Linked DNA regions of Yarrowia lipolytica. The protein of the gene in region 1 binds, or shares a complex with, the protein of each later gene. Links are inferred from orthologs where the notes say so. Each region holds a gene or a part of one and is shown in the gene's direction. Other genes may lie near its edges. The genes, in order: YALI1_E36866g, YALI1_D27297g, YALI1_B08627g and YALI1_E12067g.

The links.
Region 2: YALI1_E36866g (region 1) and YALI1_D27297g share a complex: the UniProt entries of both Schizosaccharomyces pombe proteins name them as parts of the mitochondrial small ribosomal subunit. The link is inferred for Yarrowia lipolytica from reciprocal best matches to the Schizosaccharomyces pombe genes mrps8 and mrp2.
Region 3: YALI1_E36866g (region 1) and YALI1_B08627g share a complex: the UniProt entries of both Schizosaccharomyces pombe proteins name them as parts of the mitochondrial small ribosomal subunit. The link is inferred for Yarrowia lipolytica from reciprocal best matches to the Schizosaccharomyces pombe genes mrps8 and sws2.
Region 4: YALI1_E36866g (region 1) and YALI1_E12067g share a complex: the UniProt entries of both Schizosaccharomyces pombe proteins name them as parts of the mitochondrial small ribosomal subunit. The link is inferred for Yarrowia lipolytica from reciprocal best matches to the Schizosaccharomyces pombe genes mrps8 and mrps16.

What each region holds. Positions count from the first base shown.
Region 1 is NC_090774.1:3,685,679-3,688,585, reverse strand, and holds YALI1_E36866g (mitochondrial 37S ribosomal protein MRPS8), read left to right. Parts: upstream 1-1,925; coding exon 1,926-2,402; downstream 2,403-2,907. Other genes in the region: YALI1_E36887g (uncharacterized protein), read left to right, coding at 1-1,525; YALI1_E36847g (uncharacterized protein), read right to left, coding at 2,811-2,907. UniProt on the Schizosaccharomyces pombe protein: Component of the mitochondrial ribosome (mitoribosome), a dedicated translation machinery responsible for the synthesis of mitochondrial genome-encoded proteins, including at least some of the essential transmembrane subunits of the mitochondrial respiratory chain.
Region 2 is NC_090773.1:2,728,037-2,731,011, forward strand, and holds YALI1_D27297g (mitochondrial 37S ribosomal protein uS14m), read left to right. Parts: upstream 1-1,634; coding exon 1,635-1,907; intron 1,908-2,411; coding exon 2,412-2,474; downstream 2,475-2,975. Other genes in the region: YALI1_D27324g (uncharacterized protein), read right to left, coding at 2,975-2,975. UniProt on the Schizosaccharomyces pombe protein: Component of the mitochondrial ribosome (mitoribosome), a dedicated translation machinery responsible for the synthesis of mitochondrial genome-encoded proteins, including at least some of the essential transmembrane subunits of the mitochondrial respiratory chain.
Region 3 is NC_090771.1:860,916-864,327, forward strand, and holds YALI1_B08627g (mitochondrial 37S ribosomal protein uS13m), read left to right. Parts: upstream 1-1,799; coding exon 1,800-1,850; intron 1,851-2,490; coding exon 2,491-2,910; downstream 2,911-3,412. Other genes in the region: YALI1_B08616g (uncharacterized protein), read right to left, coding at 247-738. UniProt on the Schizosaccharomyces pombe protein: Component of the mitochondrial ribosome (mitoribosome), a dedicated translation machinery responsible for the synthesis of mitochondrial genome-encoded proteins, including at least some of the essential transmembrane subunits of the mitochondrial respiratory chain.
Region 4 is NC_090774.1:1,205,132-1,207,555, forward strand, and holds YALI1_E12067g (mitochondrial 37S ribosomal protein bS16m), read left to right. Parts: upstream 1-1,588; coding exon 1,589-1,909; downstream 1,910-2,424. UniProt on the Schizosaccharomyces pombe protein: Component of the mitochondrial ribosome (mitoribosome), a dedicated translation machinery responsible for the synthesis of mitochondrial genome-encoded proteins, including at least some of the essential transmembrane subunits of the mitochondrial respiratory chain.

The sequences.
Region 1 (2,907 bases):
GGCCCCCGCTGCCACCATGTTTGTACCGCAACGCCGAAGGCGATCAGCCACAGATTCCGTCCGCAGCGAACGACGCAAACGTAGAGTTGAGGACGACTCTGAGGTGGCGGAAACACAGGCAGCTGTAGGAACAGCAACAGGGGCTACGGCAACAACGACGAATACGGAAACGTCGAGCTCCCCACCTGGTGGAACTCCCCAGGCTGCTGCATCTACTTTAGGAGAGGCTTCCATCGATGCCTCAGAAACACAACCCTTGCTGGAGAACATTCTGGAGGAACCCGAGCCTGCATCCACACGGAATTCGGGTGTGCCGACGGGCGGAATTCCAGGCATGGACATTCCAGGTATGTCGAATGAACGGCAGCCACGTAATCAGTCGGTCATGTTGTCTCGATTGTTGTTTCTGGCCTCTGCCATGACCGCATCTTCGCTTGTGGGCACCGAGTTTGGCTTCCAGAACGGCGGAGGTACCGGATCATCCTCAGACGACTTTGACCGGTTCCTCTCTGGACTTTCGCGAGGTCTGCTCTCACCTGAGATCACTGCTCGTGAACCCTCTGGGGCGGAAGGTGTTCGACCCCTCAACTACTTTCGAATGTTTAGATTCCCTCCGACTGAAGGATCCACGTTTGTTCCTGTGCTTGTGGTCGGAATTAGATCTTCGGAAGATAACGGACAGGGACCCAATGCGGAGATCACCACTGATTCCATGCCGTTTTTCGAAGCAGCCACCTCCAGACCCATTCGTCTGAGTGAACCCACCGACACAGTAGAGTATAACCCTCTTCGCTCGCGCTACGAGCGTGGTAGATCTATCTTGGATCAATTCATGAGCGACTTTGGCCCATCATTCAACAACCCAGATAGACAGGGTAGCACAGACTCGTTGACGGAAATGCCCGACTCGGCATCCACTTACCATACCCCTCTGGCGAGCACGGAACAAGTCGACGATGCCGGTTCTGCATCTGCTTCCGCCATTTCTCCTGCTGTGGCTCCTCATCCTCTCATCCCTGCCACTTCTCCGGCTTCACAGACTGCCCCACCTCTGCCTAGCCTCCCTTCACTGCCTCCTCCGACTGGTGACAACGCCAATGAACCTCGGAATACTCGAGAGTCGCTACGAGAAGCCATCCCCGAGCGCCCCCTGAGACAGTCATGGATCGTCTATGTCTTTGGAGGCACGTACCCTGAAGACCATCCCATTCTCAATGCGGCTTCTCTGTTCACAGATGAACCTACCATGGAGGATCTGTCCCTGTTGGAAAGGCATCTGAGCCCCATGAAGAACCATCTGGCTACCCAGGAGGACGTGGAGCAGGCTGGAGGATTGTCGACGGTGAAAGAGTTCATCGAGGGCGAAAAATGCCCTATTTGCATGACGGATTACGAAAAGGGCGACGTGTGTCGGCAGCTCAATAAGTGCCATCACGAGTTCCACAAGGACTGTGTGGATCATTGGCTCCTGACTGGATGCAACTCGTGTCCCATGTGTCGAGGCGAGGGAGTTGCCAGGGCTTAAGTAGGGGTAGCATTTAGACATTACTTAATGTAACGAATTATGAGTGAGTCAAACAATAGTATTTGGTCGTATTGCAGAACTGGTAAAATTTAGTTGAGTTTAGTTGAGTTTAGTTGAGTTTAGTTGGAATTATCTAGAAGTATTTAAGTATAGGGATTGACGTGAAGATAACAGGACCTGACATTGAAGAAATGAGCAATTAAAAATTATAACAAGTTTGTTGTATGTCTGAATCATACATTATCAAGTATTTTTCATACTCATTTTTATATCAGATCATCTCATACTGGACAGCTTTTCCTACCACTGATCACACAGTACACTATCGAAATAAAGTTTTGGGTATGAGTTGCAAATTTCAACCTCCAACTTTCATCTCACCACACATCACCAGCACGACATGCCTCTTTTGCACGCCTCCAACCTCTGTGCGCACCTGCAGAACGTTGCACGAGTGGGCCGACCCCTCACATCCATTCCTCACAACAAGCTCAACCTGCAAATTGCCCTGGGTCTCTACCGTGAGGGTTTCCTTTCCGGCGTGCAGCGAGGAGACATTTACGGCCCTGATGCTGTCTACACAGAAACAACCCCCCAGAACGTGGCATCGCGACGGCTGTGGATCGAGCTCAAGTATCGACAGAACCAGCCCGTTCTCAACAGCCTGAAGCTGGTCTCCAAGCCTAGTAGACGAATGGTGCTGACCACCGAGGAGCTGCGACAGCTACAGCTTGGACGAAAGGTCAAGTTCGTCAACCCTCCCAAGATTGGTGAGGTCATTCTTATCAAGACTCCCGGAAAGGACGGAAATGTCATCGACCTCAACGAGGCCTGCCGACGATTCCTCGGCGGGGAGGTCATCCTTCGAGCCTCTTAAGCCCAATGAAAATGTACATAGTAAATGATTGGTTCTAGGTGTGTGTGCATTAAAGCGCATCGGTTTAGGTCTGTGCGAGTAGTCTTGGTATGAGTAGTACCTCTGTCGTTGGATCCCGTAGATGTCGTAGATTGTTGGATGTTCAGGATACTGGGCGGTTAGCGGTATGGCACAATACCTGCCATAGAAGCTTCATAATTACGTGAAGCGTGATCCAGCATCAGCTAAGATAAGGCAAGGTCAACTATGTCTATACATTTCCCCAGGCGCTCCTATTACACGCCATGGTCTTACTGTACATGCCGTCGTGTAATGTCTTATTTGTTGTCATATAAAAATTCATGTAAATATAAGTTGTGGGTATGGTGGATACTTCATAGGCACGATCAACGCATCTCGTCATGTTCCCTACAAAGTAACAACGCTGCCAATACCCTGGCTTCGCCATTGTCGCAGATCAACCTGCCATCCGGTCCACTTGCCAATAGCCTGTCGGGCGTTAGAA
Region 2 (2,975 bases), on another chromosome or scaffold:
ACGCTATGTATACTCCTCTTGAACGCTACAAGCATTCCTCTTGAACGGTTCGTAGAGACGTAATTACGCATCTACATTGCAACATTACGAGTATGTACTCGAGCACCATCAGACTCTGGCATTGTGTTGAAGAGGAGCATCTTCACGCAAGTTGCAACCGGCTACTGTCGCTAGAATCAGCCTCCTCGCAATGTAATGTCCCATGTAGCCATTCCACCTAATCCCTTGTAATCAGCCACCGTCAAAAATTCCGAACATCTACTGCAAACGGAATGCACCATCCCTGAAGGTAAATAAATTAAAAGTACAATTACAATAAAGTAGAATCGAAAAAGTGGGACGGAAATGACGGCGGAGAAATTGAGGAAAAATGAGGAAAAATGAGGAAAAAATTGCTATTTAAATGCCGAAACTGGAAATAAATATACTCTGACCTGAGAATAGCCCAATAATCCCACATTTCGCCAATCAATACTCTTCAAACCTCGTTTCCGACACTCCCCACCGTCTCTTTAAACTCTCGAAAATGTAACCTAATAATCCTCCAAGCCCGAAATTGGTCTGAAATAAATGGCTAATTTCAAAAGAAGCAAACAAGAGACAAAGGATTCACCATTATCAAGCTGCGGCCCCCCGGCAGGTCACGTGACAATAACAAGAGGGGCCCGCTTACGACTACCTGCTGACGTAAGCTTCTGTATACCTTGTCGAATCAAAACTTGCTCCTAAACCGGGCACATCTATGCATGCACCGAGACGCAAGTGGACTACTGTATGTGCTGTACTTGCAGGAATTTGAGGTATTTCCACGTGTTGAGATGGGTTTGGAGTGGATAATTGACATCAAATAGTCCGATTATGTAGGTCTGGTTTGTTTATTGCCTTTTTCCCCGATTTTCCCTGATTTTACCCGATTCTCCCCGATTTTCCCCGACTTGAATCGTCCTCTTGAGACAAAATCTTTATTGCATTTTGCTCCGAAAATGTGTCTCAAACTCCGATCTGGGGTATGATTGGAAGTCGTGTGACTTCCTTTGAGTGGGGTAATGAAAACTGGACAATTCAGTCGTTGTTTCAATTTATTCAGAGTGTTGTTTGCTCTACAATACGTACGAGCACCCGTAGTTGTAGTTACGAAGAGGGTCTTATTCCCCGCTATAAAAGGTCGTAACCTGTGATAATGGTTACACTGACTAATAATGTCACCTGACAGGGTATTTTTGTTCACGAATAATTTCTAACGTCTTTATATATATTTTTGTGAGACGACACTTTACTATCCTTACAATATTCGAATTAGCTCTTATAAAATAACTAAATAAATATATACTTATTACAGTTCGTCAGCTTAGTCAGGGTAAGATGTGTCCTGTAAGTCGACATCACCGTCTCCCAACAGGAATCATGACGGATATGAAGAGCGTTTCTATGGTGAGAAAAATCTACATATATATATATACAAATACAAAATATGGCTGGAGTTGGTAACATTGCAGTAGTATGGCTTTTCTGATATTTTTACGTTTTTATACAACCGATCGTTGGCGTAGTCAGCAACTCCCCACTAGGCGAGAAAGTTTGCATATCAAATTTCAAATTTCAAATTCACTCGCTTCACACACCGCACAACCAAAATGCGACTGCCCAAGTTCAAGACGCCGTCGTGCTACATCGACGCCAAGGTGCTCAAGGATAACGCCATCCGGCACGTGTCTGCCCAGCAGGAGATTAACCGACGGGCCCTCAAGTCGATTTCGCAGAACACCACTCTGCCCATGAAGCAGCGGATCCAGGCCCATCTCCAGCTCACCTCCATGCCCGTCTTTTCTAACATCCACGCGGCAAAGCCCCGATGTGTCGAGACCGGAAGATCCAAGGGTATTATCAAGGAGTTCAAGCTGTGTCGAGTGAGTACAACCGAAGCGAAGACCAAAGGTCTGAGTGAAGAATGAGGAGTGGGAATGACTACAGTTGGGGAGAATGAGCCCCGCGAACGGGGATGGGAAATGAACCGCACCATCTTGAATGAGATAGCCCATGACCGGGATGTCGGCGATTGGAATGAGTGACAGTGCACATCGAACGGTAGGAAGTGCAGCAGAGAGACCATAAGTGCAGCAGTAGACCATAAGTGCAGCAATAGACCATCATGTTGGTTTCGTCTGTCGTCTTTTTATGCTGATTGCTGCTGTTTGATGCGTTGTGATTTGATCGGTATTTTTTCTGGACTTATTCCACGAGTTATTGGATTGGACACTGTCTTACCAACTGCCTTACAGACGGTTTTACCGACTTATCGACTTACTGGCTGCATTGTGTTTTGCTTCTCTCAACCTCTCTACGCTATTCTCACTCCTTACTCCCCTTACTCCCTTCTCTCCTGTTCTACTGTCCTTTCAAAGCTAACCCAGACCGCATTCCGAAACAAGGCCCTCAGCGGAGAGCTGCCCGGTGTCCGAAAGGCCTCGTGGTAAATATCATGTACATATCAATTTTAGTCGAACCTGAGCGGTGTAGATGGACAAATACAGTAGACGGTCGAATACTACATTATCGGATTGGAAAGGGGTTTATCGATACTCAGCTAACATTCTGCATCTTTGAAAAGAACCGTCTGTATGTAATAGTACGTGCATCCAGTATCAAGCACTCGTTCTTCGCGGAGCTATACCCACAAACTCGTATATTGTTATATTCTCACGACATGGACTGTAGACAGGTACTCGGAGTCTGGGTCCATGGATTAGGAACTGCAAGTTTCATCACTCGATGACAGAGATAGTCAAACAGAGAGACTGTTAGGGTGATAGTAAGACATGACTGACGAGCGTCAATATGTTGCACTATTCCTCCAACAGGTCCCTCGTCAAGGTCCCTCGAACAGGTTTCTCGAACGAATCCCTCCAAAAAGTCCCTCGAACAGTATCAATTTCTCGCTACTCTCGAAAATGCCACACCCGATGCAACGCTTGACT
Region 3 (3,412 bases), on another chromosome or scaffold:
GCGTGCTTTCCATTGCTCCGGCACTGCCTCGTAGACTTGCACGTTCACCTCTTCAAGTCCCTTCCACTCAACGATGGCTACAAGTAGCTGGTCTATCTATAACTCATATATTACCATCACGTGAGTGGGCTGTAGCGTTCTGTACATATTTTAGCACGGAGCATTGTGATCATCAGTGCTTTACGTGAGCGTAACATGTGACCCACTTTCTGTGAAAAAAATGATTTGTCACACTCACGGTCCATCTCACCGTTTTTTCTGGCTCAACACGGCGCCCAGAACAGCAGCTCCCACCGCAATGACTCCTCCCACAATAGCAATTCCAATCATGCCCTCCTTGGCCAGCTTGTCCTCGATGATCTGACGCAGCTTGGCGCTCTGGGGGTCATCGGGCTCGATCTGCAGCAACAGGTCGCAGTATTTCCGAGCATCTGTGTATTCGCCAAGCTTGTAGGAGCCGATGGCAAGGTAGTAGAGGCACTCTCGACGTCGAGAGGGCGTGTCCTTGTACACCTGGGCCAGGATCTGCACTCCCAGCTGCTGGTCCTCGACCTTTCGAGACTTGATCAGACCCCAGGCATAGTTGAAGCGGGTCTGCACCGAGACAAAGTCGCCCTCGTTGTTGTACTGTTGAGAAAGAACGTAGAGCTCTTCGTCCGAGAGCGGAGACTCGATATCGACGAGGTCTGTGTTAGAACGGAAGTGGCTGCAGTCCGGGGAGTTGGGGGTAGGTGTCATGTGACAGGGTTGTTGGAGGTAGATCCAACGGAGTAGAGCAAGCAGGTAAGGAGTTCTAAAAACTGGTATCAATGAGATGTAGAAAGTGCAGTAACGTATCGACGGTCTCAGTTGCGTCTTTGGCCATGGTTTGTAGAGGACCACTGTAGGCAGCGCCGATTCAACCAGCACCAATGTAAAGTCAACACTGATTGAATCAACACCGAATACTATATGAACCTCCGCCACGCCGCCTCCACTGCCTCAGAGAATATCCTTGAAAACAACTAAATTGACCACTCAAAATTTGGAACCAACACGTCATAGACAAGTCCAACCAACCGCTCCACTCCATCACTTTCACCCACCAATCGGCGCAAACATGGGTATCTCAGGACTCATCTCAGCTGTCGTTTCAGCTGTCGTCTCAGTTGTCGTTCCAAATCGCTTGTCACCCTAACCCCTCAAACACCCTCCCCTCGCCTCAATTCCCTAACCCGGCTCTCCATCAATACTCACTGGGCAAATAGTCCTCCTTCTTCATGGTTGTGTATGGCGGATAGTACATGTGTGCGGGATCGAATATGTAGGGTTGCTGCAGTGGCGAGTCACGTGAGCGAACTTTAACGAAAATTAAACGGAGTCACAAAACCGGCACACAAAGAGCCTTCAGAATGTTTGATAACTCGGTCGCAGGTCGATATCACTAGACTAGGGACCAGGCATTATCCGCCCCCGTGGCGCTAACGAGCTTAGTCATCACGGAGTTAGCATAAAACCTTATTTCGATATGTGCAACCTTATCGTTGTTGGCCAATGAGAGTGCTGTTTTTTAAAAACCGCAATACCGCTTCCCGGCAGAGTGACCAGAGAGCACGTGTGTTGAGCGTTCTGATGAACACAAAAACCGCGTTCAAACGGCGGTATTTCCCTCCCCACTTCCTACATCTCAGGGTTAGGGTAGGGTTAGGGCGGATGCAGAACCTGTACTATATCAAAAGTCTGGGATAGGGTTTGTTCTTGTGGGAGGTCCTGACTAAGCGCAAATTTCACACACATCACCAAACACACATACAGCAAAAATGGTGGTTCATATTATGGGAAAGCGGTTCCAGAACACCTGGAAGGTTTCTGTGAGTATTTCACGGGTGACATGGAGCGGGTGATGACTTGTTCGGAAAAGATGGAGCCACAAATGACCGAGAACGCGATGGATCAAACTGTGAGATTTTGTCATGTGGACATGTTGAGCTGATAAGAGCTTAGGCGGATGGGAGAAGGACGGGAGAGTGACTAATGATGGGGTTTCGGCGGCGACAAGTGATTTACCGACTTTCAGCTTTCGCAAGTAGGTGAGAGAGAAGAACTGGTGTGATGATATGAACGTCACACATCCGACATGTACGTGACACGGGCTTGTGCAAACGGCAGTATTGACAATTGAGGACGGTTTACAAGGTGTTCCGAGACTCAAACTGTCGTTTAGTCTTGTTTTCGAGACTTTTGGCCCAAAAGAGAGTGATACCATCAACCAACAAATAACGTGTACCCAGGATACGTACATGGACGAAAAAGAGTGGATAGACGGCCTATCTACATCTAAGATCTGGTATTCAGCGCAGGTTAAGACCGATGAACACTGATTTTTCCAACCAAAAGCATCAGATCTTACACCTTACATGTCGACACCCACCATCCTTCCCGAGTGGCGGATTCCACCTGCTTTCTTCAGTTTTGCTCTATTCTCCCCTGCCTCGTGACATACTAACTCAGTACGGACTGTCTCAGCAAGTGTTCGGCGTGGGTCCGTTCCAGGCCAAGCGGCTATGTGCCAAGATTGGCCTGTATCCTGGCATGCGAATGGGCGAGCTCACCCAGGGCGACATCATGGCAATTGTCAAGGAGCTGTCAACCAATGTGACCATCGAGTCCGACCTGGCCAAGAAGATCAACGCCGACATTGAGCGAAAGCGAAAGACCGGCTCGTACGTCGGTCGACGACACGTCATGGGTATGCCCGTCAAGGGCCAGAAGACTCGAACCAACGGAAAGAACGCCCGACGGTTCAACCGAGTGCCCCGACGACACTTTGGCTCCGTTTCCGAAGCTCTCGGCTCACTGGCCAACGAGTACAAGGCTGCCCCTGGAGCCGAGGCCAAGGGCATCATGGGATTCCTATCCAAGTTTTGGTAATGTATATAGTCTGACCGAGGTTAAAAAATGAAATGTTTGAACGCAAGCGACAAAGTTCCACACTGGTGGCACCGTCAGATAGTCGTCTACGAGGCGATGTCAAGTTACAGGTTTGTCGTATGTCAATCCAACAAAAGTGTAAACTACTGTAGACTCCCAACTAAAATGTTAACTAGACTCAAGTACTAAATCTCCAAATGTCAAGTAATTAAACATAAGTTTGTCGCAACTAACAAACAAGGGTGTAACACCAATAAAAAATCATACGACGTGTTTTTGAAACCACCTGCCTCGCTTTTCTCTACTAGTCCAACCACAGTTTGTGTTTTTCCACGATTCTTGTCATCGCCTTGCTTTTTTTTTGCTGTTTTTTGCTTTTTTTTTTTTTTTTTTTTTTTTTGTGCGGCTCTGAAAAAATTAAGCTCCGTCGTAACGTCAGACTAAAACGACCTTTGATCCACCCACCCCACAAGACAACGCAGCTTTCGGCTAAGCCATTACA
Region 4 (2,424 bases), about 2.5 Mb from region 1:
TACCGGAATTTGTACTCGCCAGAATCTGAATGATAAATAATGAGACCAGTGATTTATTTTGCATTCCAATTTCCACACGGTTTTTTTTTAATTTTTTCTAATTTTTTCTAATTTTTTCTAATTTTTAATCTTTTTAATAACCTTCAGATAGCCGCTTTAACCGCCGTCGAATGATCGCCGTAATGCACCTAATGTCTAATGATCAGAGCAACGCACAGAGCGATTCAAAACGTACCGGATAGGGAGGTTACGGCCAGCCTCATCACATCACACCAGAAATGTATACCATGACATAAGCCATGTAATGCCAACACACCAGACATGTAGTTGCCATCACAGGCAGACATGTAAATGCCATCCACAAGACATTGTAGTGCCATCAACAGCAACATGTAATTGCCATCACAGACATGGAGTGCCATCACAGACATGTAATGCCTCCACTCTGACCATGGTCTAACCGTGCGGACGCTTGCCACCATCGCCAACGGTCACATGACCCGGCCCACCTTCTAGAAGATCTTCGGTGCAGATCGCTACAGGACAATCCCGAGGTCCACGCCGGCCGGCTTTATATGCGTTAATATCGTTCTTGTAGCGGGAATTAGCCCGTTGAGATCTTCTGCGCGGCTGGAGAGGGCGTCGCACGTGTTCGGGAGCGGATCCGGCTAGGTTTCTGTTGATTTCCTGACATTGTGTGATCATTTATGTAATTTTCGGGATTATTTTTGATTATTTTGATTTTTTTGATTTTTTTTGATTTAATGGAATCAAGGATAATCCAAATAATTCGATAAATCCAAAGAAATCCAAAGAAATCCAAAGAATTCCAAAGAATTCCAAAGAATTCCAAAAGAGGGAAAAAAACCAACAAAAACATCAACAACCAACCCCAAATCAAAATACACGTCACCGTCTTCCATCAATCAACCCGATTCTCTCTTTTCACTCAAATATGCTCCGATCAGCATCTCTATCAAGACAACTTCACAGCCACAATGAGCAAATATCCCTTCTGAATGTGAAACCAAACGTCCTGAAGAAAGAGCCAATTCGAGAGCGATCTAAGAAAGGTAGAAAACAGCTGAGGCCCGGAAATATATCTGCAATCGGCCCAAAATCAACCAAAACCACCCCAAACCCCCCATAACCTGTTTTCTACCACCCCAAACCGCCAAAAAACCCCCGTGACACCCCTGACACCCTCCAACCTGCTCTCCAACCACCCACAACCCTCCTCCCCTACCCGGCCATGTCTCACGATCACCGTTGAAGATCGTTGTGGCTCCCAAGCCCAAACTGAAGATGGACGGAACAAAGCCCACCAAACTCGTCGACGATCCAGCACGTGCCAATGCAATGCAATCACGTGACCAGACAATATAGCCGCCGCCTGCAATCTCGAAATCAACTCCAGATCAAAAATTAAACAAGAAATCTGCCCCAGTCGAAAATCGAACCGCGGACCAAATATTTGCTTACTCAGCAAACCTTAAGAAGCCCTTACCCTGACATGATGCAAAATGGCATGTAAAATTGTGTCTCCAGACGCACCGTGAAAAAACCCACCGACACTTATCATCTCATCATGAAGGGAGGAATCAGAATTCGACTGGCGCGATTTGGCCGACGACACTCGCCCCTGTACAACATTGTGGTGGCCAAGGCCGGCCAGCGACGAGACGGTTTGCCCATCGAGGTGATTGGCACATACAACCCCATTCCTGCCCCCCGGTCGCACGAGGAGCTCAAGAGAGGCGTGCTGCCGGTGAAGGACGTCGAGTTGGACTTTGATCGAGCAAAGTACTGGATTGGAACCGGTGCCCAGCCGTCGGACACTGCCACCCGGATCCTGATGCTGGCTGGCGTGCTTCCTGAGGACTGGAAGGGAGTCGACAAGAAGCAGTAGGTGGTCTGGGGGGTGTCCGAGAGTGAGAAGCATTGATTTGTGTTGTTGCATTGTGGTGGAAGCAAACGGTGCAGACACAGACACAAAAGGGCTCAGATCAGACACAACACAATCACACTATCACACGGACAAAAAGAGACAGACCAAAAGAGACAGACACAAACGCGAACGGAGTGTGACTGTGAGGGATGGTTGATCCGACGAGAAGCAGATTCGGACCAATCAGGAATCTTGTACATAGATAATGGATGTTTAGTTGAGTTGAGGTGGCTGAAGACGAGTAGTGTGATGGAGGTGCGTGAAAGGGTTAAGCGGTGGTGTCGAGTGGATCTGGAGCGGGCTAGAGCGGATCTGGAGCGGATCTGGAGCGGATCTGGAGAGGATGTGGGACACCGGTGGAATGAGAGAGAGGAGGGGAGTCAGAAGAAGGTCTGACGAATATCGAGGGTAGGTTCAAACAGGGGGAGTTGGGAAGCGAGGTAAAACGGTCAGTTGCGATCGCATTACATTGAAAG